4 linked regions of the Elephas maximus indicus genome follow. The protein of the gene in region 2 purifies or fractionates together with the protein of the main gene of each other region. This does not show direct contact. Links are inferred from orthologs where the notes say so. Each region holds a gene or a part of one and is shown on either strand. Other genes may lie near its edges.

Region 1 (7,969 bases), on a different chromosome or scaffold from region 2:
TAGTGGAGGAAGTGGATGCCTGGCGGGATCATCTTCACGCCCCGGAACTTGGGCCCCACCTCCCAGGAGTTGTAGTCAATGCCAAACTCTGTCCCCTTGGGCATGTTCAGGATAATCACAGTGGCCCCTTCAAAGAAGAGGCGCTTGGCAAGCTCAGGATCCATCTGCATGGCAGCCATGAGGCCAGTGGTGGGTGCCCAAAAGGAAAATCTTTCTTCCTTGTCTTCCAGAACAGCTGAAAAAGAAAGAAATCGGCGTTAAATACAACTTGGGGAAGGAAGCTGCATTTGCCAGGCAGTCTCTGTGCCAGACATTGAAGCAGATCCCTGACATAATAATCTCCTGTAATCCTCACCACAATCCCGCAGGCCAGAATCATGAGTCCCATTTGACAGATGAGAAAAGGAGGCTCAGAGAGAAGAGGCTTTTTGTGTTTTGGTTAAATGAGCAAGAACACTCACTTCACAGCTAGAAAGACATAGGTCAAAGAGAAGTGATATACTCATGGTCGCACAAGGATCCCAATTAGAACCTGGGTGGCCTGCCCTCCAGGCCAGTGTTCTTCTCCCTGCTCACTCCTAAGATCAACTCTCAGAGCTCTCTCTCACAACAGAGGCTGTTCCAAACTAGAACTCCGCCTAAAACCTATTGCTGGAGAGTCCCAGGAAAGTCGGAAAGGCTGATTAAATCAAGCACATACCCAGTTTTCCACAAACCTCTGGGAAGGCCCAGAAATTGATAGAAGGTTAACAATGAAGACACTATGTAAAGTGGGTACACAGCATCTAAAATCCACAAAAGGTTTGAGGAGTGGACAACTTTTCAATCACAAACTCCCCCTTCTCCTTTTACTCATTTTTTTAAAAAAAAAACCCTAAAGTCCAGGGAGTGAAACACCTTCCCAAAAGGACCAGTCAGTGGCAGCTCTGGATTACTTGCCCAGAATGGATTCAAGTGGTGAGGCTAGCCTAGGATCAATGTTCACAAGAAAGAGGGCTTAGAACGCTTATATTATCTACCTTTGAACTATCCACAAGGACATATTGATAAAACCTCTGTAAGCTCCAGCATGAGCTAATTTAAACCAAACAATTATCTAACCATCTAGTCCCAAGACACCTATCTATTCAACAAATGTTCACTGAGCGCTGCACTGTACCAGGATCTTTGCTGAACACTAAAAGGAAACATCCACAGAGTAAGACAGTCACTGCCCTCGAGGTACTTAAAATTTAGCTGGATGTATAACCAAGATCCTAAAATTTCAAACAGAACAAGCTGCCTGTTTAATCCTGTTTACTCTTTTTCCCCCTTAAAACAAACAAAACAAAATACAGTGGGGAAAAGAAGACCAACTCTTTTCTACAAACATCAAGGGCATATCCTACCTTCTTAACTCAAAACCCACTACAAATAACTCTCTCTAAATCTGCCTATTTTTCAAACTGCAGCTCACAACCCATTAAGGGGTTATGATATCAATTTAGAGCGTCCCAACCAACATTTTCTTTTAATGAAAAGAACAGAATAAAAAAAAAGATCAGCATCCATCAAAAGTAGTGAGAAGTACTTGTTTTCTGAAGTTCCGTGTGTGTGTGTGTACAGTTGGTTGCAACATAAAATTTATGTTACTGTAGGTCACAATCAAAAAAGTTTGAAAGTGACTGTTCTAAATAATTTGCATCTTCATTTTTCTATCCCCTACCCTTTTATAAAAGGCACTTAATAAATATTTGTTGAATGAACATATAGCTCACTTAGAAAAACTGCTGATCAATTAATTACCCATTTCACCTTGTGACATCTGTGTGTTCCTCCTTGACAATGACAATTTCTTTCATTCTAATTCCACCAGCCTGTAACTCTCCATATCTGCAGCAGCCAGCACATGGCCTGGCACAGAGGAGGTGCTGCGAAAGGTTCACTGAATATGCACAGAACTCTACAGCCTACCAATCAATCTCACTGACAGCCCTGTGAGCTCCTCTCAGCCCTGGAACACAGAAAATCATTTCTATTCACTTCCCTCCACCAGCTCCCTCATCACCACTAAGCCACCATCATCTCTCACCCTGAGAGTGCTCGCCCCTTCAATCCATTTTCCATACAACACCCTGAGTGACCTTTTCAAAATGCCAATCTGATCATATCACCACCCACATTTAAAACCCTCGGAGTGGCTTCCCAAGCAGTTCTTGGGAAAGCGAAATTCTCAGCATGAACTACAAAGCCTTCACACTCTGGCTCCTGGCAACCTCCCCAGCTTCCTTTCATACCACTTTCCCCTCAAGCTCTCTGTTCCAGCTACACTGGCCTCTTTCAGGCTCTCAAACAAGAGAGCAAAATGCTCTTCCCTCTCCTCTTTTCGGATCTCAGCTCTATAATCACCTCCTCAGTAAAGACCTCCGTGACCCCGCGGCTAGGTCAGGTATCCTGTGACAGACACTCAGGGCACCTCTACCTCTCCATTTCACTTCTCACGGTTGTTTGATAGAGCGCTGTCACTCCTACGAGTCCTTTTGTTCCCTGTATCCCTAGCACACATCAGACGCTTGATAAACGTTTAATAAAACTATGATCTCTATTTAGCGGACAAAAAACCAGGGCTCGGTGCGGGGAACAACCTTTCCCGAAGTCACACACAGAGCCGGGCAGAGCCAGGCCAGGCGCAGTCAAGATCTCCGGCCCCCGAACTCTAAAGCCAGGAGGAAAGCGGAGCTAACCCGTGCGCCCCAGGAAGCCCTGGCGGACCGCGTCTCTAAAGACGGCTACTCAGGTAAAAAGACCTCGGAGACCCCAGCGTCCCACAGCCCGGGAGGCTGCCGCCCCGGAGAGGTGGGCTTAGTTCAGGGCACTCCGCGGTCCCCGGGTCGGGAAGAGGGGATGCCCCGCGCCCGCAGACAACGAAAGCAGAGGAAGGAAAAGAAGCCAGGAAGCCGCACTCACCAGCTCCCGCCTCGCCCCAAGCTCCCGCACCGCGGAAGCGCACCGGAAGTTCGCTCGCTTCGGTGACGGACCGGAGCAACGGAGAAAGCGGCCCGGTGGAGTTCTCGGTGATGGAAAAACGGTGCCTGCTTGCAGGTTCCGCCCCATCAAATGTTTTTTGCTACTCTTAGCTACTCGTTTTTCTTCCTAAATTGTAGATTAAGAACTTTCACTAAACTGTGCATTTTATATCCCCCTCCCAAAACGCACCAGCCATAGTCCCTGGTTCTCAAGAAGTCAAGGTCGTTGAAACGGGGTCATGGTCATGGTTGCCCAGTAGTCACAGGGGTGCTCAGTCACAGTCCTAGTTAGCCGATCTGTGGTCCTGGTCAGCCAGTCTTTCTCCGAGTCACAGCGTCACAGCTGGCCTGTTACCACCCAATCTCAGTTACCATCCACACTCAGGCCTAAAGGAGAGCCTCAGAAACCCAGCTTCCAGCCCAAGGAAAACCAGTCTCAGCAGTTGGAGAAATCACCCAGTCAGTCCCTCCAGCCATAATCACCCAGCGTCCTCTGGCAGCACAGGCCTAGTCTGATATCTCAGGCAGGCTATCAAGGTGTCCTGAGGGAGGTTACCTGCCTGTCTTGTTCTCCATTGTTTTCCTGAGGCTTAGCACAGAGCCACGAAGGCTCAGCTGGGTACATATATTATGTATTTAATTAATAATAACAGTAATTTGGTGTTAATAAATGGCTTCCATTTGTGGGTCTAGCCCTCTGCTAGGTGGCTGCATCATTCAGGGATCTACCAGAGAAACAGAGCCAGTAGGAGATATACATTAAGAAATTTACTGGGAGAAATTTGCTTCTCCTGTTGTGAGGACTGGCTAGGCTAAATCTGAAATCTGTAGGGCAGGCCATCATGAAGAGCAGGCTATCAGCAAGGGCAGGGTGGAACCCTCTGGCACATGCCAAAGATGCCATCCACAGGCTGGATTTCTTCTTCAGGGAAGCCTCAGCTCTGTTTTTAAGGCCTTTCAACTGATTGTCTCAAGCCTGCCTGATTATCTAGGATAATCTCCCTTACTTAAAGTGAACTGATTATGGACTCCGATCACATTTACCAAATAACTTCACGACAACGCCTAGATTAGTATTTGATTGAATAACTGGGGCCTGTAGCCTAGCCAAGTTTACACATCACAAAAAACCCATCACAGTGGTGTACATATATTATCTAATCCCTACAACCATCCTGGGAAGTCGATCTTATCCCTGTAACTCAGACTTTATCCACTGTAACACATATGCAATCGAGTTGGCTTGAGCCAAACTTGTTCTCACCCTATATCCACCTTGAAATCAGTTTTAGCACACTATTGCATCCCACAAAGCCCAAATATGACTTCAAAGCGTGGAAAAATGTCAGTTTTACTTGCAATTTCAGGGAAAGTTGAAGAATCCCACACAGCAAAATGTCCCCTTCATTCTCCTATCAATATATTTACCCTTTCCTGAGAGTTTCCCTAGAGCAGCTAGCTACGTTGTACACTATTTTCTCCCCACTCCCACCCACCCATCTACTTTTTCTAGGTTTCCGCTTCCTCCTCAAAAATTCATCTGCTCAGAGTAAAATAAACTTGAACCAAACAGCATTCAACAAAGCCCACAACCACCCACTCTAGCATACCACAGGGAACAGGGTGTATGTGTGGGGCAGAGTATTGCCCAGTTCATCCCACTGCTCAGATATTATTTCTAATCCCTACACTACCCTGTTGTTGTTAGGTGTCACTGAGTGGATTTTAACTCATAGGGACTCCATGTGACAGAGCAGAACTGCCCCATAGGGTTTTCTAGGCTGTAATCTTTATGGGAAGGAACCCTGGTGGCACAATGATTAAGTGCTCAGCTGCTAACCAAAAGGTTGGCAGTCCAAACTCACCCAGTGGCTTTTCAGGAGAAAGACCTGGTGATCTGCTTCTGTAAGATTACAGCCAAGAAAACCTTAGGGGAGCAGTTCTACTCTGTCACATGGAGTCACTATGAGTCAGAATCAACTCGATGGCATCTAACAACAACAATCTTTATCCTAGTAAGTCAGTGTTAGTAGTCCCAATTTACAGAAGAGAAAAATGAGGTTCAGAGAGGTTACAAAGCTACGATGCAAGCCAAGGTTTGACTAGCTGTTCTTGTCTCGGTGCTGCTGCTCCTTCGCTTACCTGTCGCGCTTTCTTAGTGACAGCTGGCCACACCAATCTGTCTCAGTCAAAATCCATCCCTTAGTGGGTCGAAGACTAGACTGAGCCCTGCAGCCATGGTTAATCACCATGAGCTGCTGCAGGATTAACCAGAGACAGCCTCCATCAGTCACAGTCATGGTATCAATCTCAGCCTGTCATGTCAGTTCCATTTCCCGCATGAAGAAGCTTAGCTCCCTTCCTTCACACACAGCTCCCAGTCTTAGACACTGAATTCTGTGATCTGGTATCAAAGCTCTCTGTTCCAGGTGGGCTCAGCATCTTCTCAGAAACTCCAGGGTACTCAACACTGAAGCTGTAGACAGTGACCTCAGAATCCCACCCTGTGGGGAGCATGTCCATCTAGATAGATCACGGTTTCTCAACCTCAGCACTATTGACATTTGGGGCCACATAATTCCTTGCTGTGGGAGGCTGTCCTGTGCCTTTTAAGATGTTTAGCAGCATCCCTGGCCTCTACCCCCACATGCCAGTAGCACCCTTCAGTCATGACAACCAAAACTGCCTCCAGACATTTTCAAATATTCCCTGGGGGGCAAAATCGCCTCCCTTCCCCCAGTGGAGAACCACTGATCTACATGAACCTGCTTCAGATTATTCCCAATGAGCACAGAGGCCGGCTCTGTATTAATGGAAGACAGAGATACAGATACAGAGTGTGTGGGGTCCTGAAGAATTTTGTGGTGACCCCATGTTTGTGAACCCAATTCTGTTCCAGAACCTCAGGGGGTGACAGAGAGCTAAAGGAAACCTACAGGGAAAATGCAGGGAAGGGTTCACAAAGCTCCTAGCAGCAATTGTCTCCAGCCATGGAGGAGGGGAGGGTGATTCTGGAGAAGAGAATCCTGCATAGCCTTTTGTGTGATTTAATGAACTACCTTTTCAAAGAAATGAAATAGCATCTAGTATTTGGCATTATGGGGAAATACTCAGAATATAAGCAAAAGAAGCATTTAGAGTGGTATTCACAATGTGACTTCAACTCTGAAAAAACACGTGTGGTCCAAGAGACAAGTTCAGGTTTTACATGGATTATGATTTTTCAGTATTTTTATGAGGACTATCTTTCTTTGGAAACCCTGGTGGCATAGTGGTTAAGAGCTACGGCTGCTAACCAAAAAGTAAGCAGTTTGAATCCACCAGGTGCTCCTTGGAAACCCTATATCGCAGTTCTACTGTCCTATATAGGGTTGCTATGAGTTGGAATCGACTCAACAGCAATGGACTTGGTTTGGTACCTTTCTTTGGCAAGTGATACTAGTTTTCCATTTGTGGAAATAATATATTTTCCTTTTTAAATAAACTTGATTTTGAAATGAGCCAATTTAAAGAAAAAAGATAAGTCAATAATGGAACAGGTGACACAGGGCTATGATAACCTATGTGAAGGTGGTAGGCAAAGACTGACGTTGAGGGTTCCAGTGTACGTTACTCACCAGGCATCCTAGAAGGAGCTGCCTGTGTGTGTGGGGGGGGGGGGCGTTGCAGGAAGTGACTTCAGTGTAGGTGCTCTTCTTTGAGGAAGAGAAGCAGGACCACACTGTTCCTTCACACACCAAGCCCCTCCATGTCTTGGAACCTACGCTTTTATTGTTCCCAATGCCTAGAATGCTCTTACCCAAGTTCTTCACATCACTGGATTTTCTCTTCATTCAGGACAAAAATCACCTCCTCAGGTAGGCCGTCTCTGACCACCTAAAGTGTCCTCCTGTAGTGACCTATCCCCTCCCCTGTGTATTGCCCTCCAAGTGCTGAGCACCCTGTAACTTCCTTTGACGAAACAGCTTCTGTGTTTTGCTATTTCCTCCACTAGCCTGTGAGTTCCTGGAGGCCAGCAACTTCGACTTATTTGCTGTCGTATCTGCAGAGACTAACCCAAGACCTGGAACACACTGAGAGCTCTAAGTATGTGCTGAATCAAAGTGTTCTAAGTTTGGATGTCTCCATCTTAGTTTTAGCCCTTCCCACTATGCCACCTTGCACCAATAGCCAAAGTCAGAGATAGAGATGACAAGGCAGTTTGTGGTTCAGCATCAAACACATTTATTTCACTTTTATTGAGTATACAAGAACAGAGAGCACACGCATACAGCACAGAGCACTGAGGTGGGGGAGCGCTGGGACGAGAGAGGAGAGAGGGGTGTGAGTAAAGGAACAGGACAGCATCGCAGTTGGTTGGTAAGGTGCTTTTGAAAAAAAAAATTATTTAGAATGATGTTGCTCATGCAATTTCAGGCCAGTCTTGGAATGTGGTTGCAGGATTAAAAAACTGAAACAGGTCCTGGCACTTCTTATACCCTCCCAATGGAAAAGATCCCGAGAAAGCAAAGTAAGAGAAAATGACGATCTGGAGGATGGCAGAGTGGGAAAAGCCCCTGGTGAGCATCTGGTTCAACTTGCTCATTTTGTGAGTGGGGAAACTGAGGCCTAAAAACAGGAAGCGGTTGGTCCGATGTCACAAGGTGAGTTAGAGGCTGAGCCAGGATGGCCACTCCTTACTGCCCACGGGGGATTTTTCCACTTAGCCTCCTGGGTGGAGAGGCAGTACAGAAAGGATGAGAAGCGTAAAAGACAAAAAAGGAAAAGTAGGTTGAAGACAGACAAGTGTCTATGTTCTCTCTGAAGAGGAGGATGGGAAGGAAACAGTGCCCTAGATTTGGCTTTGCCACTCCTCTCCTCTGGTGGCGCTACCTGCCTCTCTGTGGAAGGAAGGTCACAGAACTCGTAGGATGAAAGCTTCCCAAACCCTGGTTACCTCGTCCCTACCCTGAAGTCACACTCTC
Region 2 (6,853 bases):
CTGGGTGGTCACAGAGCCCACCCTCTCTACAGGGGCTTCCCACTTGCTGCCCTACTTCTACCTCCTCTACTTTACGGCGCTGCTGGTGCACCGGGAGGCGCGTGACGAGCGGCAGTGCTTGCAGAAGTACGGCCTGGCCTGGCGTGAGTACTGCCAGTGTGTGCCCTACCGCATAGTGCCCTACATCTACTGAGGTGGCACACCTACTCCAGGTCAGGGCACGTGCCCACCATCCACCAGCACACCCAGCATCAAGAGCCTGGACACACCTGGACTCAAAGGCCTGCACCTCTCTGAGCTCCATCAGTAGCCAGGGGAGGTGGGGACAAACAGCCTCAGAGAAGAGTTGGTTTGGAGCAAGGAAAAAAACGGAGCCAGTGCCCAAAAGACAGAGCAGCGGGGACAGGACTGCTCTTCCACTTTAGATAAATGTCTGGAACCCTCGGTGTGGCTTCTTTCCCATCCTGGGGCTGGGGTGTTTACAACTGGCTGGCTCAGCTTTGATTAGGGAAAGACTGATGTGGTTTGTGGGTCCAAAAGTGTAGAGTTAGGCGGGGCAACAGGGCAGACCTGTCACAGCTTTATTAACGACAAAAGGTCTTCAGTTCAACCAGGGAGCTCCTCAATGAGAGTCCTCGGAGCAGGTGGCATGGGGCCTCCCCAGAGGCGCTCCATCTCCCCGGTGAGGGCTGTCATCTCCTCGGCTGCCAAGGCATGGGCTCGGTGAGCCCTGGCGCAGTCTAGGGCTAGGGGTGTGAGGGCCGCCTCATTTTCGTTGGTCCAGGCCAGCAGGAACTGGCACTTCTTCCGTGCCCGGTACAGGCGATCCCGCTCTTCCGCAGCCATGGCCCGTTTCCGGGCCCGGCCCAGAAGCTGTGCCAGGTGCCCTAGTGCTGCCAGCGTGTAACCCTTCTGGTTGGCCGGGCCCTCGCCCAGCAGGATGCGGGTGGCCTCATGCATGGCTCCGCGTGTGCCCAGGGGCCCGGGCGGGTGCTCACCCGCCTCCAGCACGTGGACTGCCGCCAGCAGGGCTTCCTCTGCAGAGGCGAAGACTTGCTGGACGCCCAGGGCCCCAGAAACGCCGAGCAGCGTGGCACAGAAGTCGGAGAGCAGCGCATCGTCGCCGCCGTGATAGAGGGCGAGGGCGTGCGCGTAGGCGAACAGCACATTGGGCAACTGGAAGCGCACGAGCGGCGAGGCCGGGCCGCGGCTCAGGGTGGCCAGCGCGGGGATGCGGGCGGGAACGGAGGGCGCCCCCGCCCCGGATGCGTCTTTGAGAACAGGCTCAGCGGCCTCGGGCTCCGCGGCGGTGGCAGCATCCTTCGCGGACTCCGGCGGGGTCCTCGCCAGAGCGGGCCCCAGCTCCGCGGCGTCACTGCCGGGCGCGTCATCCAGCTCCTCCAGAAGCCGCGGCTCGGCCCCGCGGGCCCACCACCACGGCTGCCACGGGGGCAGCAGCCGCCCGGCCTCGCCCCGGCTCAGCAACCGCTCGAAGGCCGCCTTCTCCGCCGGGGTCAGCCGCTCCCAGAGACCTGAGAGGCCGCCAGGCGCCGGCCCAGGGCTGAGGCCTACTTCCTCGGGCTCATCCTCGGTCTCGCGTTGCTGGCGCAGGCGGCGTAGGGCGCTTGCCAGGCGGCTGGGCGAGGCGGTGCGGCCGCGGAGCTCGCCCAGCACCTGGTCGCGGTAGAAGTCTTCGGCGCAGGTGCCATGTGCCCGGTAGCAGCGCAGCGAACAGTAGGGCACATTACAGCGCGGGCAGGTGTAGCGCGCTGGCTGAGCCTCCCCTACTGGGCAGAAGCCACAGGGCCCGGCCGGCTCCATGGCAACTGGCGCCACGACCCACAGGTGAGCGCACAAGGGCGATAGCTCGGTAACTTCCGGCGCTTCTTCGGTTACTTCCGCTTCTGCGGGGGCGAGGGAGCGCTTAGCCAAAGCTCACCCGAGGACTCTCGGCAATTCCCGCCCACACTCGGGAGCCAACCCGCACCCCTCGCTCTGGCGGCGTTTGGGCAAGCGCAGAAGCCGGGCGTACCGTACGAGCCCCGCCCGGGGCCCCAGAGGAGCCCCGCCCTTTACGGCAATGCTTGGAGAGGAAAACACGCTCGGCGGGATTCGCAGCTGCCAGTTCGCCACCTAGTGGTTGCGCCGAAACGTGGCCCCCAAATTGCCTAAAAATACAAATTATTTTACCCTTGTAATGGAGCCCTGGTGGTTCAGTAGTTAAGAGCGAAGGCTAACCAAAAGGTCGGTAGTTCAAATCCACCAGCCGCTCCTTGGAAACCGTATTGGAGCAGTTCTTCTCTGTCCCTTAGGGTCGCTATGATTCGGAATCAACTCAATGGCGATGGTTTTGATTTTTTTGGTTACCCTCGTAATCCTATAAAGTGCTGTGGCCAAAACCAAGCTTTGCTAAGCATCTACTCTGGGCCATTAATTGTGCCAGGCCTATGGGAGATTAAGATGAGATGCGGCCACTCTAAGGCATACAAAGGGGCAGTTCTAGAGGACAGGCCCAGATGGGGCACCTGAGCCCAGCCTGAATGCGTTGGGGGCATCTCCCTTCTTTAGCAAAAAGCAACATTTAACAAACGTCTGAGCTCGTTTGATTTTCTCTAAACTTGCGTCGTCTTTTGTCTTCTCATTGAATATCACAGTCGTTCACCCAGCTGTGGTTATTAAATGCCATCCATACTGGGCAGCAAGAATACAATGGGGAGCAAAATGAGATGGGGCTCCTGTCGTAATGGAGCTTACAGGGGAGTCGGGGTGATGAACTGCCAAGAACTCTGCCAAGCGCTGGAAGACCTGACCCATGGCGTGCCTAATAGTGAATCCTGGTCCTCTCCTCTCTTACCGCACACCCGATCCCACTCACCAGTTGTCTCCAAAAGAACTGGCATTTATCAGGATATGGGTCATCTATTTCAACACCAAGTCCACTGGAGGTCTAAGCTGCCCCTTCACTTGGATGTCAACCCCTTACCTGGTTTCTTAACTCTCTTGCAAGCCCTTCAGGAAATCAGAAAAAATAATAGATCACAACTCAGATCACATCAGTCCCTTGCCTGGAACCGTTCCCCATGGCCTCCTACTGCAGTTGAATGCCAGACTCCTCTGACTGACAAGGCCCTGCAGGGTTAGCCACCCTCTCCCAGACATCACTTGTCCCTGCCTTTGCAGGGTTCTCTTGGCTGCAACTCTTTCCCCATTTCATCACTTGATTGGCTCACACATCCCATCTTCAGAGACCTTCTCTAGAGATACCTTTCATTTCATCGTAGCAGACTGCTTACTTTCTTTGAGACTATTAACGTCTATTTTGTTGCCATTTTCTCCACAAGAATCTAAGGTCCTAGATGGCAGAGAATCTTTTTTTTTTTTAAATCTTAATCACTAAAGACAAAAATAGCCAATATTTGCACTTATACTATACTAGGTACTGATCTAAGCACTTTACATCTTTTATTTAATCCTCACAGCAACTCTGGAGAGATTAAATGTGTAGTTGGTTCAAGGTCAGACAGGAAGTAGAGCCAGAATCACTCAGGCAGTCCAAATCCAGAGTCCAAAGTCACCATCGTATCCTGGTATGCTGTAACCCAAGAGTCAGCAGATTCAAAAACGTAGCTGAACGAACGAGTGGGTACTGATGCACTGGAGCCTCAGCTGCCAGAGGGAACCCTGATTCAGCCCCAAAGGAGCTCCGCTTCTGGAACACTGAAATAGTCAGCTACCCAAAGACGGCTGAGTAGATTAGCTACGCCAGTGAGCCAATCAGAGGCTCAAACAAGAGCACCCATCGCCAGGGTGCCAGTGGCATCAAGCAAAATACCAAGCTTTCCAAAGCTGAGGCAGACTAGCTTCCTCCTTGGACTCTACCAAGCCCACAGCTGAACTCAACTTCAAGGAAAGGCCAGATCAGTGTTTCCCAATTTTCTACCCTCCGCTGCTGCCTCTTAACACACCTCCCACCACAATGATTCCTTCTCTGTTAAAAATAGAAAGAAACCAGTGCTTGGAAGAATTACTAAATTATGTGGGATCTGGGGTTTCCCAGCTCTACATCTGAAGGGCTGACAGTTGTGGTTACTGCTCCTCACACAAAGCTTTCTCTTGCAGTTTATCACTTCTTTTCACCAGACCAAGAGCTTCTACCTTTTCCTAACTCAACACCTCCAAGAAACAAGGCCTCACTGCTCTGCTAGAAGACGCACCACCAACTAGCCCTAGGAACCATGCCTCCCCTGAGGCCCTGCAAATGAAGATAAAGCAATGACATTGCTGGGCTAAAGGGCTTTATTAGAGCAGGCCACGATTATAAAGGACTTAAGAATTGGCATTAGGGCCCTTCTTCTTGCCAAAGGTGGGTACAACATTGACAAAGCGCCGGTTGTACTGCATCCGCCGCTTGGCCCGACCAGTCTTCTTCTTTTTCTTCTCCTGTTTAGCCACCTATAAAAGGAGAGGACTGATCAGACCCTGGTTGACATCTTCTGAGGAACCCTTTTCCTTGGCCTCATCTTCCCGGAGAGAGAAGGCACACAGGGCAAGAGTCAAAGGCCTTGGCTTAGCCGTGACAGCAGACAACAAACCCCAAAGGACACTCTTACTTACCTTGGGAGTCTGACCTCTCACTTTCCCAGCACGAGCCAGAGAGCCATGGACTTTGCCTGTGATGGAAAACACAGACGGCAAACAATTAGGAGAGCAAGAACTCCTCCTCCCTCAACCCAGGCCTTAAGCAGCAAGCTGGGCCCAAAGAAAATAAGGACAGTGTAGAAATTTGATCTCTGACCAAAGATGTGCTGATGTGGCACATTCTGGGGTTTCATGTCAGAATTTCCCAGCCCCTGATTTTAAAGGTGAACCGGAAGGTGGCTTAGAAATCTGGTCTGACCTGATTTTCGTGGGAAAATTGAGATTCAGACAAAGCTCTGATAAGTGATTGACCTAAAACTACACTCTGGCTCCGTCTCCCGTGAACCTCTCTACTGTTTCAATTAAGGGAGGCAAACAGGAATACTCACTAGAAATGACACCATCTACGTTGCCACAAAAATGACACTAAGCTTCAAGAACTACACACTCAATGCCCATTAACAGCTTACAGGTAGTTCAACAGCCACTCCTCCCCAACTCACCTCCAAGCATGCGGCCAGCTATTTCGAGAGTGGTCAGGGCCTCCACTCCACAATGGCCCAGGGTGGCCTCATCCTCTAGGGGTGTGCCTGCCAGAAGAACGACCTGATCTTCCGGGGAGATGCCCTCCAGCGACGCTACATGAGCCTACAGGGAAAAATGAGGTTCGTAAGTGTTCCCGCGGCGGGTGGATGCGAGGAGCACAAATACTGAGTCCAGGAAAAATCACACAGCCTTACCTTGATGTGGGCGACTGTCTCCTGGCCAGTCACCTCGAGGGTGTGTAACTCCTGGGCGCGAACGAAGAGCTGCATGACGGCGACTAAGAAATAAGATTGTAAGAAAAAAGGAAAACACGCTCTAGAGGGGAGCGGGTCGGGAAATGGGTGTCGGGTCCCATAGGACTGAGCCGGGACGGAGGTGGCCGGAGGCTTCACGTGGGGCAGGCCGGGCCTACCGGGGAGGCCCGGTGGGACCCGGAGCCAGGCCCACAGGGGAGCCCTGTTCCTCCATTTCCCCCGCGCCCGCTAAACTCGCAGCCAGCCCGCCACTATGCCCTCTGTATCCAGCCGTGACCCAAGTCTTACCTGAAATGTTGCCCCTGCTGCCGCTACGGCAAAGATGGAGCCGAAAAAGAGGAAGGAGCCAGGGCGCGCACGTCCTCACCGTCTGCTGCGTGTCACGTCACTGCTGAGCGACTCCGCGTTACCCTGGCGTTTATGCTGCCCAGGGCGGTCCTGGCCCCGCCCCCTTGAGGCATTTTTCCAGTCCCAGGCTGCGCGCGCAGGAAGGGGCGGGGCCAGGCGAGTTGCGCGCGCAGGAGGCTAGCGTTGGTGGCAGGCCAAGATGGCAGCGGTCCTGTTCCGGGCTGCCCTGTGGGGCTGGAGAACCGGCGTCCAGCCGAGCTGCGGGCTACGGTACCTGGTGAGAGAGGCCGAGGGCGGAGGTTTGGGTGTGAGGCTCACTGTTGTTCATTGTAAACTTAAAATTGCAGCAACCCTCACGGTCTTAGTTTTCTTGTCTGACTGGGGACAGTTGACTGGAACTTAGGTGCAGGATCGAGAAGGAAGGTTACGGGGCCTGGAGCTTGGCTTCGAGAGCGTGGAGACTGGAACCAGGCAGGAGGGCAGACCGGGTTAGTCAGAACTGCCCAGGCTTTCGAAGGGGAAACCGTTCCATAGGGTAGGAGCCGGCCCCAGATCAATAGTGACACTTCTGGGAACTTACGGCTCTTGGTACACAGGCCACTTTATCCTGCTTCCCTGCTGTGTTGTAACCCCCCTGGCCTGTCAGGACTCCAGGGTATCTGTTGGGAGAAGTATCCAAAAGGATCTTTGGGCTGAAAGGATGGGAGGACGAACTCTGGGGTGTGACCTTAAAATCAAAACCAAAATCATTGCCATTAAGTCGGGTCGATTCCGACCCATAACGACCCTATAGGACAGAGTAGAACTTGCCCATAGTGTTTCCAAGGTTGTCGTCTTTAAGGAAGCCGACTGCCGTATCTTTCTCCCGAGGAGCTGCTGGTGGGTTCAAACCACTCACATTTAGGTTAGCAACGAGTGCTTAACCACTGCTCTACCAGGACTCCCTAGTGTCACCTTAGGTAGTGTTAGTTTTTGTTTTCTAAATGCCTTGATCTTTCTTGGATGTAAAAAGGGGTAATAAAATGTCTTACTTGCCGAGTTGAAAGAATTAAGTGAAAACAATGCCT
Region 3 (7,738 bases), about 7.2 Mb from region 2:
GGACGACTTCAGGAGAGAGAGGGTTTTAGAGCTAGCAGGGCCAGAGCGGATATAATTTGCCCAAGTCGAAGCTAGAATTCCAACGAACCTGTTGCTTTCCGAATTCGCACTCTACCCTGCACCACCTTAAGTCACTAAGCAGCCTGTTCCGTGGGGCACGCAGCGGGTGCGTGGGGGACACAGTGACCGGGCCCCACGATAGGGAACTAGGAGGCCCGGGAGTCGCTTCTTGGACTCAAGGCCTCGGGTTCCTTCAGGGGCTCAGCGGAGGGCAGAGCTGGGTCCCGGCGGAGCTGAGGCGCGGGGGTGTCCCAGGCCCGGATCAGCGCAGACCAGGTCCCAGGGACCGGGAGCATCGGTTCCTTCCTGCTTGTCTGTCTCCGCCTTGAAGGCAGAGCCTGGCCTTACACCGCTCTACGCGCCCAGCGCCTCGCCCTGTGCCTGACACTCAATAAGCTCTCGGCGGCGGGGAACCAATCAAAGATCCTCGCGTGCCAGGGCCGGGGGGATGGGCCCCGGGTCCAGGCCTCAGAAGGCTCGGGGTCCCGAGGGCCAGGCCACGAAAAGACGGGGGAAACCGAGACGTCGGGCTGGGTACCGGGATGCAGGCTGCGGCTAGCGGCCACCCGAAGGCCTCCCCGACCCCAAACCTACCAGCTCACCGTTGCCCGGATGCCTCCATCTTGGTCGCGCCGCCTGCCGGGACGCCGCGCTCGGCCCTCTGGGAAACCGAGTCCTCCGCCGGCCAGGGGCCGCCGCCTCTGCATGCAGAGAACTACAACTCCCACGAGGCACTGGGTCCCTGCTCCCGAGGCCTGCCGGGACATGTAGGCCTGTGCGGGCATGTGTCTCAGCCAGATCGCCACTCCCCTGCACTAGGGGCTGGCTTATGATAGCCCGGAGGCCCCAGGGCTTATTTGAAAAAAAAAAAAAAACCGGAAATGGCTAAGGAGAAAAGGGAGGGAGGCCCCCGGATGCAGCTCCCAGAATGCTTGAAAGCCAGCGGCCAGTGCTGGGTTCCCGGGGCCCAGCGCCACCTGCCGGCACCCCCGAGGACTGCGGCGGCCTCAGGCCGGAAGCGGGTTCTGGCGCTCCAAGGACACATAGCCACTCCCCGGGCACTTCCGGCCCTGGCCGGAAGCAATGCGTTGCCTTTCCTTCCATCTGTCGGTCAGTGCCGACCAAGGCGCCCCTGCAGCGTCCCAGCGGCCGGCCCCACCCCGCCCCACCGGAGTCCCCAGATTCTCCAGGCGGGCCCCCGCAGTCACGCAGCCCCAGGTCAAGACCAGGGTCTCGACCTATGAGGGCTGAGGGGGCATCTTGGAAACGGGGCTCCGCGCACGTGGGGGCTGCAGGCGCGCCAGCCTCTCCCCTAGTCCCCATGGCAACACTTCGTACCTGCTCCCTGGGGACCTTCCTGGGCCCTGCCCAGGGACAGGGCTGTGATTTACCTCTAGGGTGTTTCCCCAGGGACAAGGACACAGCTGTTCCCTCCCCGTGTGCCCTAACCATTGTGTGCGCCGTACCTGAGATGGGGAGGCACTAATGGTGGCCCCCCCGTCTCCCGAGGCCACTGCTGTGGTCGTGGAGAGGTGTGGCTTAGGAGGAGGCTTGGAGGGAGCACCCCTGGGTGGGGAAGCCAAGGCTGCCTCTGCCCTGACTACATCCTTCCAGGGTCAGCGCCCATCCGGGGGCCCTGGGTGCCACTGACCCACTGGGAGCCGGAGCCCATGAGGCCTGGGAGGGCTGGGCAAGGAGAGGAGGGGAACCGAGTGCTTCGCTCCCTCCACTTCCAAGTCAGCCAGGACTGGTGGGCCCCGGGGAAAGTATGTGCTCCAAGAGCAGGCACCAGAGGGCAGCAGCAGGCTTGGGAGCTGACAGCCTAGTCCTTCTCACTGGCCTAAGGCAGGTCACGCCTCCCTGCCTGGTAAGGGAGGACGAGGTCCCAGGTTCTCTAGCTCAGCCACTTCTCTCTCGGCCCCCAGGCTTGTAGGTGGGCGGTGCTTTTGCCCCTTCTCTATGGGGGCACCTGTCCCACATTCTTGAGGTGCCTCTGCTGGGAAACCAAGGGTTCAAGGAGCTGCCCAGCCCAGAAGCACAAAGAGGGGAAGCTGGGCCCCTACCTCAGCCCCTGGTCTCCAGTAAACCTCGGGTCACCTCGTAACACTCCACCTCCCCCCACCCCCAGCCTCACCAGGAACCCACTGTGGGTCACTGCCATGCAGAAGGCAGGCTCCAGGCCCCTGCGCTGCAGCCTTGGGCGGATGTACCTGTGGGCCCCACAGCACAGCAGAAGCAGAGAGGATGGACTCCATGGACCTTCCTGTACCTGAACCCTACAGCCCAGGTGTGCAAGGTGCAGGCCCTCTGAGACCCTTTAACCTCCCCGTGCAGGGCTGGGGTTGAGTTCCAGAGCCAGTCCAAGGAGACTGCTGGGCTGTCACAAGGGGTTAGTTTAGCGTGTGCGCAGGTGGGTGCCACCCTAACTCCAGGTGATGTTGCCCAGCATCCCTGACAAAGCAGCCTGTCCGAGGAGAAGTCCCATCCCAAAGCTCTCCGTGCCGGGATGGGCGGTGGCTAGCCAGGTGGGTCTGCATAATGCTCACCGACTAGAAGAGCTTGGACTAAGGGTAGAGATCCAGGTGGGTCCCAGCGCACCCTGGTGGGCCACTTCACTGGGTTCCCCCATTGGCTGCTGAGCCCTTCCCAAACCAGACCTGCCCTAGCCACTGGCTCCTCCAACAAAGGTTCACAAGCACCCAAATGGGCGGGAAGGAAGGAAGGAAGGAAGGGGAAGAACCAGCAGTCCTGGTGTCCACCAAACCCTTCATAGCCCAGCCAGACAGTGGGCCTGGCATGGCCACAGCTGAGGCACTCACAGGATGGGCGGAAACCCAAGGCCTGGGCGGCGTCAGAAATGGTGAGGAGGGTGCCCCGCAGGAGTGGGGCACACATCCTCCGCCACATCTCCCCGCTGCCCCCACTCGGGGCACTCTGCCCAGGCTCGGTGCAAGGAAGGAGGGGCGCTACGGCCTACCGAGGGGGCACATCCCTGTGGCGTGCTCCCGGGCCCACTGCCCACCCCCGTGTGGCCCAGGAAGGGAGTCTGAGCCGTGCTAGCATGCCTGGTTTTTCCTTCTTTACTGAGTGACTGTTGTGACTGGAGATGACGTAATTACAGCTGGGGGTGACATGTTAGAAAGGAGCGCTGCCGTGGAGCTAAGAGCTCAAACGCTGCTCTAGAAACAGTCAGAGGAGGGGGAGTCAGGGCTACAAAAGGTGCGGGCTGACGGGTGGGGCAGGGCTGCGGCCCCTCAGCTTGCAGGGTCAGGCCCCAGGGCCAGGCAGGCTCCCTCCCTGGTCCTCAGAGCAGAGGAGCCTCACGGGCCCTGCCCTGCAACCCCAGGCCGCCGGTCCACTCCCACGTCACCCACGAGGGCCACCAGCCCTGGAAAGGTGGCAAGGGCTTGAGAACAAAAAGGAGACCTGGGAAACGAAAAGGCTGAGTGCACAGAGCAATACCGGGGACGCTATGTACACGGCACAGAGTAATACCGGGGACGCTGTGCACACGGCTGGCCGCCTCCGGGGACGCTGTGCACATGGCCGGCCGCTTCCAGCCTCAGTATACAGGGCTGTTGCGGATTCCACAGCACAGGACCATGCTTAGGATCATCTCGAAGATCTGCGGGGGAGAGGGGACGTGAGGCATGGCACAGGTGCTGGGCACCACCCCCCGAGGCCCCAGCTCACCATGATCACGGCGACCACGATGGCTGCGATACCAATCAGGTACAGCTTCCCAGAAAAGAGGTCGTCGATCTTCTGGTGGCAGTCCTCCTGCAAGGACAGACAGCAGGCGGGCTCAGGGTCCCCCTCAAGTTTCGCGTGACAGTCAGGCAACACAGAAAACGCACAGAGGACCTGGTACCATGGCTCTCCCAGCCCACCCTGGCCAGCCGGCACTCTCAGCACAGGTTAGCTCTTAACTGGTTACTGTGGCATCCACTCCGATGCACGGTGACGACCTGTGTGTCAGATTGGAACTGTGCTCCACAGGGTTTTCAGTGGCTGGTTTTTCAAAAGTAGATCCCCAGGCCAAGGACACTTGGTTCAAATCACTTCCGCATAGCTGAGTGCTACCACAGGTTGCTGAGGCCCCCAAGGGCCACCTCCGGCCTCAACCACAAGCATGGGCAGCCAAACACCAATCCCACCAGGCCACTCGACACCCTGGGCCTCAGACAACCTCACCTGGACTGCAAGCGATGGTGCCCCTCTTCGGTCAGTTCTGTGACCCCAGCAAGCCCGGCCCCGGCAGAGTGGTCCTCTCCCTGCTGGCCATGGCCCCAGGATGGGCACAACCTGCCCTATGCGTGCCCACCATTGCCCAGCTCCACCCCATGGCAAGCCCCAAGCCCCGGCCACCACTGCACACCTTGAAGACGTTGCTGAGGAAGGTGCTGCCTGAGGGACACAGGCTGTTCTTGGTCAGCGAAGTGGCCAGTGTGGTCAGTGTATTGGAACCACAGCAGTTCAGCTGCAGAGAACAGGGCAGCTTTAGTCAGGCTGGCAGGGGGCTTGAGGAGCACTGGCCAGGGGCCCGGATGGCCACAGAAGAGTGTCCCCACTCCCACCCCACAGTGCATCCTGCCGGGCTGCGGCCACCCCACAGGCTTGTTCTGCTCCTCCTAAGGTAACTGAGCCCCGAGATGGCCACCTGCAGTGTGCTGCTCAGAGACCTGGCTTACCCACTCCCACCCAGGGACCTAGAGGACAGAGAGGAGCAGCCTCCCCAAGGCCCACAGAGGAAAACGCCCAGGCTGCCCCTGCCCCTACCCCTGGAAGATTAGAGCTCCTGGGGCCCATGTGCACCCATACAGCCCAGCCCTGCAAGCCCCATGGGTCCCATACCCACCCCCTCAGACCCCCAGCAGCCGCACCGTCTCATGGAAGGTCTTCACCACGGCCTTGGCATTGCTGGCTTCATCGTCCAGCACGGCCTGCTGCAGGGCCTGGTCGTAAAACTGCTTCACGTCCTTGGCGATCTGCAGGGAGGACAAGCAGGCTAGGGGGTCACCAGAGCAGAGCCTACCTCCTCAGGTGGACAAGTGTGCTCACCTGACACACCTTAGGAAGGCGGGGTCCCCAAGATACATGGCGGGGGGGGGGGTCCTATCTTAGCTGGCCCCAGCTCAGGCCCAGTGTCGCTGCTTCCAGGAAGCCCTCCTGGACCTTACTAACATAACGGGGGGGAGCCCCAAGGTACACCCGCCATCTGTGGGTGAGGCTGGACCATCCCCCACACTCTGAACAGGGGCCATTCCTCCCCCCAGCATCCCCAGGTTGGGATGAGGACCTCACCTGGTGGGCCTGGCTCACCTGGTCCTTGTTGACAAAGCCCCAGATGCCGGCAGCCACTTCACAGGCAAACAGGATCACCAGGCAGGTGAAGAACTGGGGGGCCGCATGAGGGCGGGATGGGAGGAGGGAGTGGGCAGAGGAAGCAGTAAGTTAGTCTGGGGGCTCTTCCTGGGGCCCCAGGCCACCAGGCAGCATGGGGTTTGCCTTTTCGAGATGCAGCCACCCAAGTGACCAGCAGGATGGGAGGCGGGGGTAATCACCAAATCACCGTGTCCCAGGCGGCGTGAGCCATGAGGCCTAGTCATGAGCAAAACCTAGGACTCAGCCCAGGAACAAGATGCCAGAGCCGCATCCTCCCAACCCCCGATTCCAGAGCTCTGATGGTGGGTGGGGGCGGTGTGCTCCCCAGGCCCCTCCACCGCACCACCTGGTGGGCACGAGAGCAAGCGTGCCTAGTGAGCCCCAACACAGAGGGGCTGCCACGTCATGCCTCAGTCTCCCCTAGCGGAGACACTGGTACAGGCTCCCCAGCACACTGCCAGCCTCACCCCCTACCCGGCCAAGGGGAAAGGGGCCACCAGGCCAGAGGGGAGCAGGGCGGGGACTCTCTCCCTGTTGTGTTTGTGGCTTTTCTTAAACAAAGGAAGAGAGAGCCACTTTGGGGCTTAGAATCAGGATAAAGAGATAATGGTTTATCTAAGAGCCAACTGGAAAGTTCAGAGCCGGCCAGCCCCTCCACCAGGTGAGGGGAGGGGAGGGAGGGGGCGGACGTGCCTGAGCTCTACCAGGGCCACCTCCTCCCGGGTGCCTCCCCCTCCAGCCCAGGACCAGCAGGGACCCCACCTTACCGTTCCCAGCAGGCACTGTGACTCCTGGATGGCCCCATAGCAGCCCAGGAAACCCACAAACATCATCACAGCGCCCACAGCGATGAGGATGTAGATGCCTGGGGGTCGGGGGGTGGTTATATCACAGCACCTCGCTGCTCTGCCCTCATGCCCTCCCAGGCCCCCCCAGACCTTCTGTGCACAGCACTCTCCAATGCCGGGGTCCCACAGCCCCCGGCCCCTGCAGGAAGGGGGAGGAAGCGGATGGGCAGAGCAGTGAGGACCTGGTGCTGGTTCTGCCCAGGCATGTGGGCGTCCTCTCCTGCCTGTTTTCTATGAGAGGGGCAGGGCCACCTGTTGAGGACCACACAGGCCACCACGGGACAGACTGAACTTGTTCCTGTCCACAGTATGTACGTGAAGACCTGCCTACCTCAGTGCCCACCCACTGACCCCCACGCCAGCTCACTGCCCCGGGAGGTGCTGACTGCATCTCCCCAGTGACCGCCCCCCGAGATCAGCCCAACAGGCTCGGATTGTCTGCAGTGGTCACAGCAACACTGGCAGCAGCTCACGTCACCCTCGGTGGGACGGGGTCTATTGTCCACCACCAGGCCCAGAAAAGGCCGACCCTGGGCCACCTCAGTCTTCCCCCAATCTGGCCGGCCATTTCCTGTTGGCACTCTGCAGAGGGGAGAAGACTCAGCCCCTCCGTCAGGCTCTCCTGTCCTTGGCCCTGCACCAGCTCCACATGTGAGGTGACGCGAAGACCCCTGGCCCCCGCCACCACATCACTAGGGGAGGTTCACCAGGGTGACCCGGGGCAGCCAGAAACCATGCACACCAGGGGGTCTTGGCTTTCTTGGGTCCTACCAGGGGACTAGAGGCCCCCTCCTCAGGGTCTCTGGGAGACTCAGGTTGGTCAAGGGGCCACTCAAGGCCCCTCCTGAGGCTCCACTGGCAGATCCTACTGACAGCCCCCCAGAGCCCCCAGGCTCCAGTCGGAAGCCCGAGGACGACACTGAGATTCAGTCTGGCCCTGCCCCCTGGGGAAGGTGGCGGGGGCAAGCTCACCCTGCCAGCCAGCCCCACCTCCCAGCAGAGAACAAAGAGCCCTTGTCAGGGATCCCATCTGCTCCCCACCCCCTGCAGGGCCCTCCGGCACTGGGCAGGATCCTGGGCCAGAGGGGCTCTGAGTACCCCCAACTGGGGGGTCCAGCCTCTACAGCTGATTCATGTGGGGTCCAGGCCCTGAGAGGTCACACCAACAGGTGGGGGAGGTCGTAGCAGGCTGGGAGTCGGGTCCAGAAGGCAGGTGAGGTGCATAGCCTGAAGGAGGGCTGGGAGTCTGGGCGGGGGGAGGGGGGAGGCATGCTAAAGACCCTCCCAGGACCTGCTGTCCAGGCCTTCTCTGTCCGCCCTTAATGCCCTGTGCCAGCCAGGCCCGGGAGCCAGTGCAGAGCTATGGGCTGCCCAGAGACTGGGGGTGGGGCGGGGTCTCCCTACTGATAAGGGTCCACCTGACAGATGAGCACCGAGGCCCAGGG
Region 4 (7,041 bases), on a different chromosome or scaffold from region 2:
AGAGGTGGGTGTTGTTGTTGTTAAGTTGCTGTGCAGGTCTTTTGCAGCAGATGCCCCCAGTGCAATACGTCATTTGATTTCGTGACTGCTGTTTCCACAGCGTTGACTGTGGATCCAAGTAAAGTGAAATGCTTGAACACTTCAGTCTTTTCTCTGTTTATCATGATGTTGCTTATCGGTCCAGTTGTGAGGATTTTTGTTTTATATTGAGGTATAATCAATACTAAAGGCTGTGGTCTTTGATCTTCATCAATGAGTGCTTCAAGTCCTCTCCACTGTCAGCAAGGTTGTGTCATCTGGGCAAACGCAGGTTGTTAATGAGTCTTCTTCCAATCCTGATGCCCTGCTCCTCTTCATATAGTCCAGCTTTTGGGTTTATCTGCTCATGATATAGGTTGAAGAGGTATGGTGAAAGGATACAACTTTGACGCACACCTTTCCCAAATTTAAACCACACGGTATCCTCTTGTTCTGTTCCAACGACTCACTCTTGGTCTATGCACAGGATCTGCATCAGTACAATGAAGTGTTCCGGAATTCTCATTCTTCACAATGTTATCCATAATTTGTTATGATCCACACAGTTGAATGCCTTTGCATAGTCAATAAAACACAGGTAAACACCTTTCTGGTATTCCCTGCTTTCAGCCAGGATCCACCTGATATCAGCAATGACATCCCTCATTCCATATCCTCTTCTGAACCCAGCTTGAATTTCTGGCAGTTTCCTGTGTTTGAACTATCTTCAGCAAAATTTTACTTGCATATGCTATCAGTGATATTGTTTGGTAATTTCCACACTCTGTTAGCTCACCTTTCTTTGGAATGGGCACAAATATGAATCTCTTCCAGTCTGATGCCAGGTAGCTGTCTTCCAAATTTCTTGGCATAGATGAGTGAGCACTTCCAGCACTGCATCAGTTTGTTGAAACATCTCAATTGGTATTTCGTCAATTCCTGCAGCCTTGTTTTTTGCCAATGCCTTTAGTGTAGCTTGAACTTCTTCCCTCAATATCATCATCATTTCTTAACCATATGCTACTTCCTGAAATGGCTCATCGTCAACCAATTTTTCTAGTATGGTGACTGTGTATTTCTTCCATTTTCTTTTGATGTTTACTGTGTCGTTCTACACTTTCCCCACAGAATCCTTCAATACTGCAGCCCAACGCGTGAATTTCTCCATTGGTTCTTTCAGCTTGAAAAATACCGAGCATGTTCTTCCCTTCTTGTTTTCTAACTCCAGGTCTTTGCACATTTCATTATTATACTTTATTTTGTCTTCCTGAGCTACCCTCTGAAGTCTTCCGTTCAGCTATTTTACATGATCATTTCTTCCATTCGCTTCAGGTACTCTATATTGAACAGCAAGTTGCAGAGTCTCTTTGACATCCATTTTGTTTTTTTCTTTCTTTCTTGTCTTTTTAATGACCTTTTGCTTTCTTTAGGAGCCCTGATGGCGCACTGGTTAAGAGCTTGGCTGCTAACCAAAAGGTTGGCAGTTCAAATCCACCAGCCATTCTTTGGAACCCTATGGGCCAGTTCTACTTTGTCCTATACAATCACTTTGAGTCAGAATTGACTTGATGGCAATGGGTTTTGTTTTTTTCTTTCTTTATGTATGATGGCCTCGATGTTACCTTACAACTTGTCTGATATTCAGTCATTAGTGTTCAATGTATCAAATCTATTCTTGAGATGGTCTCTAAATTCAGGTGGGACATACTCAAGGTTGTAATTTAGTTCTTCTGGACTTGTTTTAATTTTCTTCAGCGTCATCTTGAACTTGCATATGAGCAACTGATGGTCTGTTGCACAGTTGGCCCCTGGCCTTGTTCTGAGTGATGATATTCAGCTTCTTCATCACCTCTTTCTGAAGATGTAGTCTATTTGATTCCTGTGTATTCCATCTGGTGAGGTCCACACGTATAGTCGCCATTTATGTTGGAAAAAAAAAGTCACCGCTCTTCAAAAATTCTATCATGCACTCTCTGGCATCCATTCTATTGCCTTGGCCATATTTTCCAGCTACCGAGCCTTTTTTGTTTCCAACTTTCGCATTCAATCATCAGTAATTATCAACGCAACTTGACTGCGTATTTGATCAATTTCAGACTGCAAAAGTTAGTAAAAATCTTCTATTTCTTCATCTTTGGCATTAGTGGTTGGTGCAAGAGGTGGTAGATACCTATTTTCTAAGGTTTTCTAAGGTTTCAGTTACAAATGAAAGTACTAACATACCTCTGGAACTCATTATTTCCCAAAGGGGTAGAGGGAAAATACAGGTTCAAAGTGTGGTTAGAAAAATTCACAAACAAGCACTACATCATGAAGTAGGTGAAAGCAGTGACACTCCGCACTTCCAAGGGGAGATGCTTGTTAAAGTAAGGCACTACACAGGATGGACCACCCTAATGCCGCGATTCAGTGATTATACTTCACTAACGACTAATGAGAGGAGGTCGACAGCAACCTGCACCTTTTATCCAGACATCCACTCAACATAGTCTGTCCAAGTCATTTTGCCTTTCAACCCAGAAGGACAGGTAATAATTCCACCCACCTTACCTCTACCCCCTTACGCCAAGCGTACCTTATTATAAGGGGTTTTAAGATCACCCAGGCTAACTCCACACCATACAGATGAGAAAAACGGAAGCAAAGAAAGGAAAGGCACTAATAGAGCTCAGGGCTTTCTGCCGCCGGAACCAGGAGGATCCCTCCCGCCACCCGACAAAACCGAGTTAATGCCTCTTACGGCTCCACGCCCTCTCGGGCGCCTCTTTGCTGATGCACCGTTCCTCCGCCGCTCCTCCCACCGCGTGAGAACACCGTTCAGAAGCTGCTACGGCGAAGTCTGCGTTTTGCAGCGCCACCAGCTGCCAACGCCGGGTCCGATCTCCGTCCCAAAGCCCGTCTAGTACCTGAGGCCAGTGGACGGTCTAGGAGACAGTCACAAACCCTCTCAGCCTCCGGAACCGCCGAGCCTTGTCACCGCCGCACGTCGACGGGAGCATTTGGCAGGTGCCCTGACTCGTTCGTCACTTCCGCCCCCCGCGGGAAGACGGGAGGGCGGTGAACTGGAAAGGGGGCGGTCTTGGGGGGCGACGGGGCGAGACGGGGGCGGAAGGTGGCGGGAGGGGGCCGGGCCGGAGCCGGCGGGAGGGCCAGGCCCGGAGGCCCCCACCCTGGCGTGCCCGCCCCGGGCGCGGCTGAAGAAGAGGAGGATGATCTCCAGGTACACTCGGAAGGCGGCGCCACAGAGCTTGGAACTGTGAGTCGACTGCTCAGCCACCTCCACCGGGCCCGGGGAGGCCGACGCCGGCCGCGGGCGCTCCGGGGCCCCTCTCTGACCAGTCCTTTCCTTGCCCAGGGCGGGGGTAAGGACATTTTCTCGCCTCCCGGCCTTGCGCTGACCCTCCTACCTCGAGCTCCAGCTGAGGGTTGTCACCTGTGCTGTCTGTCCTTGGACTTGGCTCTCTTGGGACCGGGACCCTAAGGCCTTTGTGGTTTCCTCAGCCCTTCAGGCCCCACTGTCAGTGGCCATTGACAGCTCGAGAAGTTATCAATAACTGAGTGCTGCAATAGAATTTTGCCAGGCACCGTGCTAATCTGTTTACACGCATTTGGTCGCTTAATCCTCTCTACAAGGATATAGAGACTATTATTTTGCACATTCTCTCTCTCTACATATATTTTTTATAGATAAAGATCCCAGATTTAAAGATTTTAGTCTGCCAAAGATACAGGCAACAAGTGTCAGGAGCTGAGGTACAGCCTGGTGTCCATCAGATTCTGAAGCCTGTGGTCATAACCATTAAACATCTTGCTCCCTCACTTCTGAAGTTAAGCTGCTTTTATGCTTTAGAGAACAAATATTTCTGACTTACATCCCACTCCAAGTGAAGTGTTGTAACTTAGCAAGTATTGGTAATATACTTATTAATGTTTTACACTTTCAGAAGAACTTTCAAGTTTTGATTTTCATAACAACTCTGTAAGACAGGTACAATTATCTTCATATTTTCAGAAGACGGTATGTATTAGAAAAGTTAATATATCAACAGGGAACTGCCAGAAATTCAGGCTGGTTTCAGAAGAGGATGTGGAACCAGGGATATCATTGCTGATGTCAGATGGATCCTGGCTGAAAGCAGAGAATACCAGAAAGATGTTCACCTGTGTTTTGTTGACTATGCAAAGGCATTTGACTGTGTGGATCATAACAAACTATGGATAACATTGTGAAGAATGGGAATTCCAGAACACTTAATTGTACTCATGAGGAACCTTTACATAGATCAAGAGGCAGTTGTTCGGACAGAACAAGGGGATACTGATTGGCTTAAAATCAGGAAAGGTGTGTGTCAGGGTTGTATTCTTTCACCATACCTATTCGATCTGTATGCTGAGCAGATAATATGAGAAGCTGGACTATATGAAGAAGAATGGGGCATCAGGATTGGAGGAAGACTCATTAACAACCTGCGTTATGCAGATGACACAACCTTGCTTGCTGAAAGTGAAGAGGACTTGAAGCACTTACTAATGAAGATGAAAGACCACAGCCTTCAGTATGGATTACACCTCAACATAAAACAAAAGTCTCCACAACTGGACCAATGAGCAACATGACGATAAACGGAGAAAAGACTGAAGTTGTCAAGGATTTCATTTTACTTGGATCCACAATCAACAGCCATGGAAGCAGCAGTCAAGAAATCAAAAGACGCATTGCATTGGGTAAATCTGCTGCAAAGGACCTCTTCAAAGTGTTGAAAAGCAAAGATGTCACCCTGAAGACTAAGGTGCGCCTGACCCAAGCCATGGTATTTTCAGTTGCATCATATACATGTGAAAGTTGGACAATGAATAAGGAAGACCAAAGAAGAATTGACACCTTTGAATTGTGGTGTGGGCGAAGAATATTGGATATACCATGGACTGCCAAAAGAACGAACAAATCTGTCTTAGAAGAAGTACAGCCAGAATGCTCCTTAGAGGCAAGGATGGCAAGACTGCGTCTTACATACTTTGGACATGTTGTCAGGAGGAATCAGCCCCTGGAGAAGGACATCATGCTTGGCAAAGTACAGGGTCAGCGGAAAAGAGGAAGACCCTCAACGAGGTGGATTGGCACAGTGGCTGCAACAATGAGCTCAAGCATAACAATGCTTGTAAGGATGGCTCAGGACCGGGCAGTGTTTCGTTCTGTTGTGCATAGGGTCGCTATGAGTCGGAACCAACTCAATGGCACCTAACAACAACAACAACATACAACTTGTTATGGATTGAATTCTGTCCCCCCACAAAATATATGTTGTAAATTCTAACCTGTATGCCGGTGGTTATAGTCCCATTTGGGAATTGGTTGTCTTTGTTATATTAATGAACTGGTTAGCGTAGGGTGTATCTTGAGTCCTTCTCTTTTGAGATATAAAAGAGATTAAATGCAAGCTAGCAAGCCAAGATAGGGGAAGAGAGATGCCAGGCCACATGAAGATTGCCCAAGAGTAGAAGCTCAGAAGAGAGAAGGACCTTCCTCCAGAGTCAACAGAGGGAGAAGGCTTTCTCCTAGAGCTGGCACCATGAATTTGGACTTCTATCCTCCTAAACTGTGAGAAAATATAATCAAGGTTATGTAGCCAGTAGAGTTAGGATTTGAACTTGGCCTTTTTAACTCTAAATCCATTTTTTTTCTTCACTGTGCTAAGTAATACATTTATTAATTAAATACTAACTGTACATAGTAATCACGAACATGGTACTTTGAGTCACACCTGGCTTTCTGGCTAGGCTATTTTCTATCTGTGTGACTTTTAGGCACATTACTAAATCGCCAAGCCTTGATTTCTGTAACATAGAAGTAATACCTATTTCATAGCAAAGTCTATGTAAAGTGATGACACAGGGCTGGACCATAAATGGCCATATCCTTATCCTCACTCACCTTTACTAACTACAATACTAAATAAAGACAATCTAAGACAAGATTCCTCCTTGCCTTTCAGAAACTTATTAAGCAATAGGATATGCATACAGTAGCAATTCAAATAGTAAGTTCTTTAGAAACTAGGGAGAAGTAATCATTTCCCAATAAAGTGAACAGGGCTTAGCTAAAAAACGTCTGTTTTTGTAATTAATTCCCACTATTCTGAGGGTGGAGGAGCCCTGGTGGAGCAGTGCTTAAGTGCTCTGCTGCTAACAGGAAGGTCAGTTGCTGGAACCTGCCCGCTACTTGGCAGAAAAAGGTGGCAGTTGGCTTCCGTAAAGATTACATCCTTGGAAGCCCTTTGGGGCAGTTCTACTCTGTCCTATAGAGTCACTATGAGTTGAAATCAAGTCAACAGCAATGAGTTTGATTTTGGTATCCTGAGAGTAAGATAAACTACCAAATGGAAAAAAAAAGTTGTTAGGTGCCGTCAAATTGGTTCTGACTCATGGCGATTCTGTGTACAACAGAATGAGACACTGCCCAGTTATACGCCATCCTCACAATCATTGTTATGCTTGTGCCTTTTGTTGCAGCCACTGTGTCAGTCCATCTCATTGAGGGTCTTCCTCTTTTTTGATGACCGTCATCTTTACCAAGCATGATGTACTTCTCCAGGGACATCTTGCTTGGTAACATGTCCAAAGTATGTGAGATGAAGTCTTGCCATCCTCGATTCTAAAGAGTATTCTGGCTGTACTTCTCCCAAGACAGATTTGTTTGTTCTTTTGGCAGTCCATGCTATAGTCGACATTCTTCACCAACACCATAACTCAGAGGCGTCAATTCTTCTTTGGTCTTCTTATTCATTGTCCAGCTCTTGCATGTATATGAGGCGATTGAAGGCACCATGGCTTGCGTCAGGCACAACTTAGTCCTTAAAGTGACATCTTTTCTTTTTAACACCTTAAGGAGGTCTTTTGCAGCAGATTTGCCCAATGCAGTAATTTCTTGACTGCTGCTCCCGTGGGTGTTGATTGTGGATCCAAGTAAAATGAAATCATTGACAACTTCAATCTTTTCTCCATTTATCATGACATTGCTCATTG

What was found.
Region 1: the proteins of ZNHIT2 (region 2) and AAR2 purify together in Homo sapiens (affinity purification with mass spectrometry; 3 studies listed by BioGRID and IntAct, counting the BioPlex papers as one, with this or other methods). This does not show direct contact. The link is inferred for Elephas maximus indicus from reciprocal best matches to the Homo sapiens genes ZNHIT2 and AAR2.
Region 3: the proteins of ZNHIT2 (region 2) and TSSC4 purify together in Homo sapiens (affinity purification with mass spectrometry; 3 studies listed by BioGRID and IntAct, counting the BioPlex papers as one, with this or other methods). This does not show direct contact. The link is inferred for Elephas maximus indicus from reciprocal best matches to the Homo sapiens genes ZNHIT2 and TSSC4.
Region 4: the proteins of ZNHIT2 (region 2) and ECD purify together in Homo sapiens (affinity purification with mass spectrometry; 3 studies listed by BioGRID and IntAct, counting the BioPlex papers as one, with this or other methods). This does not show direct contact. The link is inferred for Elephas maximus indicus from reciprocal best matches to the Homo sapiens genes ZNHIT2 and ECD.

Annotation. Positions count from the first base shown.
Region 1 is NC_064843.1:33,304,116-33,312,084, forward strand, and holds the start of AAR2 (protein AAR2 homolog), read right to left. Parts: upstream 3,004-7,969; 5' UTR 2,947-3,003; intron 236-2,946; 5' UTR 180-235; coding exon 1-179. UniProt on the Homo sapiens protein: Component of the U5 snRNP complex that is required for spliceosome assembly and for pre-mRNA splicing.
Region 2 is NC_064825.1:128,276,456-128,283,308, forward strand, and holds ZNHIT2 (zinc finger HIT domain-containing protein 2), read right to left. Parts: upstream 2,006-6,853; 5' UTR 1,822-2,005; coding exon 607-1,821; 3' UTR 511-606; downstream 1-510. Other genes in the region: delta(14)-sterol reductase TM7SF2, read left to right, coding at 33-193; FAU ubiquitin-like and ribosomal protein S30, read right to left, coding at 4,327-4,452, 4,615-4,670, 5,142-5,286, 5,379-5,453; MRPL49 (39S ribosomal protein L49, mitochondrial), read left to right, coding at 5,986-6,063. UniProt on the Homo sapiens protein: May act as a bridging factor mediating the interaction between the R2TP/Prefoldin-like (R2TP/PFDL) complex and U5 small nuclear ribonucleoprotein (U5 snRNP).
Region 3 is NC_064825.1:135,486,221-135,493,958, forward strand, and holds the start of TSSC4 (protein TSSC4), read right to left. Parts: upstream 3,014-7,738; 5' UTR 663-3,013; exon of another isoform or gene 655-662; intron 83-654; exon of another isoform or gene 1-82. Other genes in the region: CD81 antigen, read right to left, coding at 3,623-3,685, 3,754-3,840, 4,439-4,540, 4,944-5,048, 5,383-5,457, 6,213-6,310. UniProt on the Homo sapiens protein: Protein associated with the U5 snRNP, during its maturation and its post-splicing recycling and which is required for spliceosomal tri-snRNP complex assembly in the nucleus.
Region 4 is NC_064834.1:14,311,317-14,318,357, reverse strand, and holds the start of ECD (protein ecdysoneless homolog), read right to left. Parts: upstream 3,008-7,041; 5' UTR 2,925-3,007; exon of another isoform or gene 2,759-2,924; intron 2,748-2,758; exon of another isoform or gene 2,594-2,747; intron 1-2,593. Other genes in the region: primary cilium assembly protein FAM149B1, read left to right, coding at 3,228-3,274. UniProt on the Homo sapiens protein: Regulator of p53/TP53 stability and function. Inhibits MDM2-mediated degradation of p53/TP53 possibly by cooperating in part with TXNIP. May be involved transcriptional regulation. In vitro has intrinsic transactivation activity enhanced by EP300.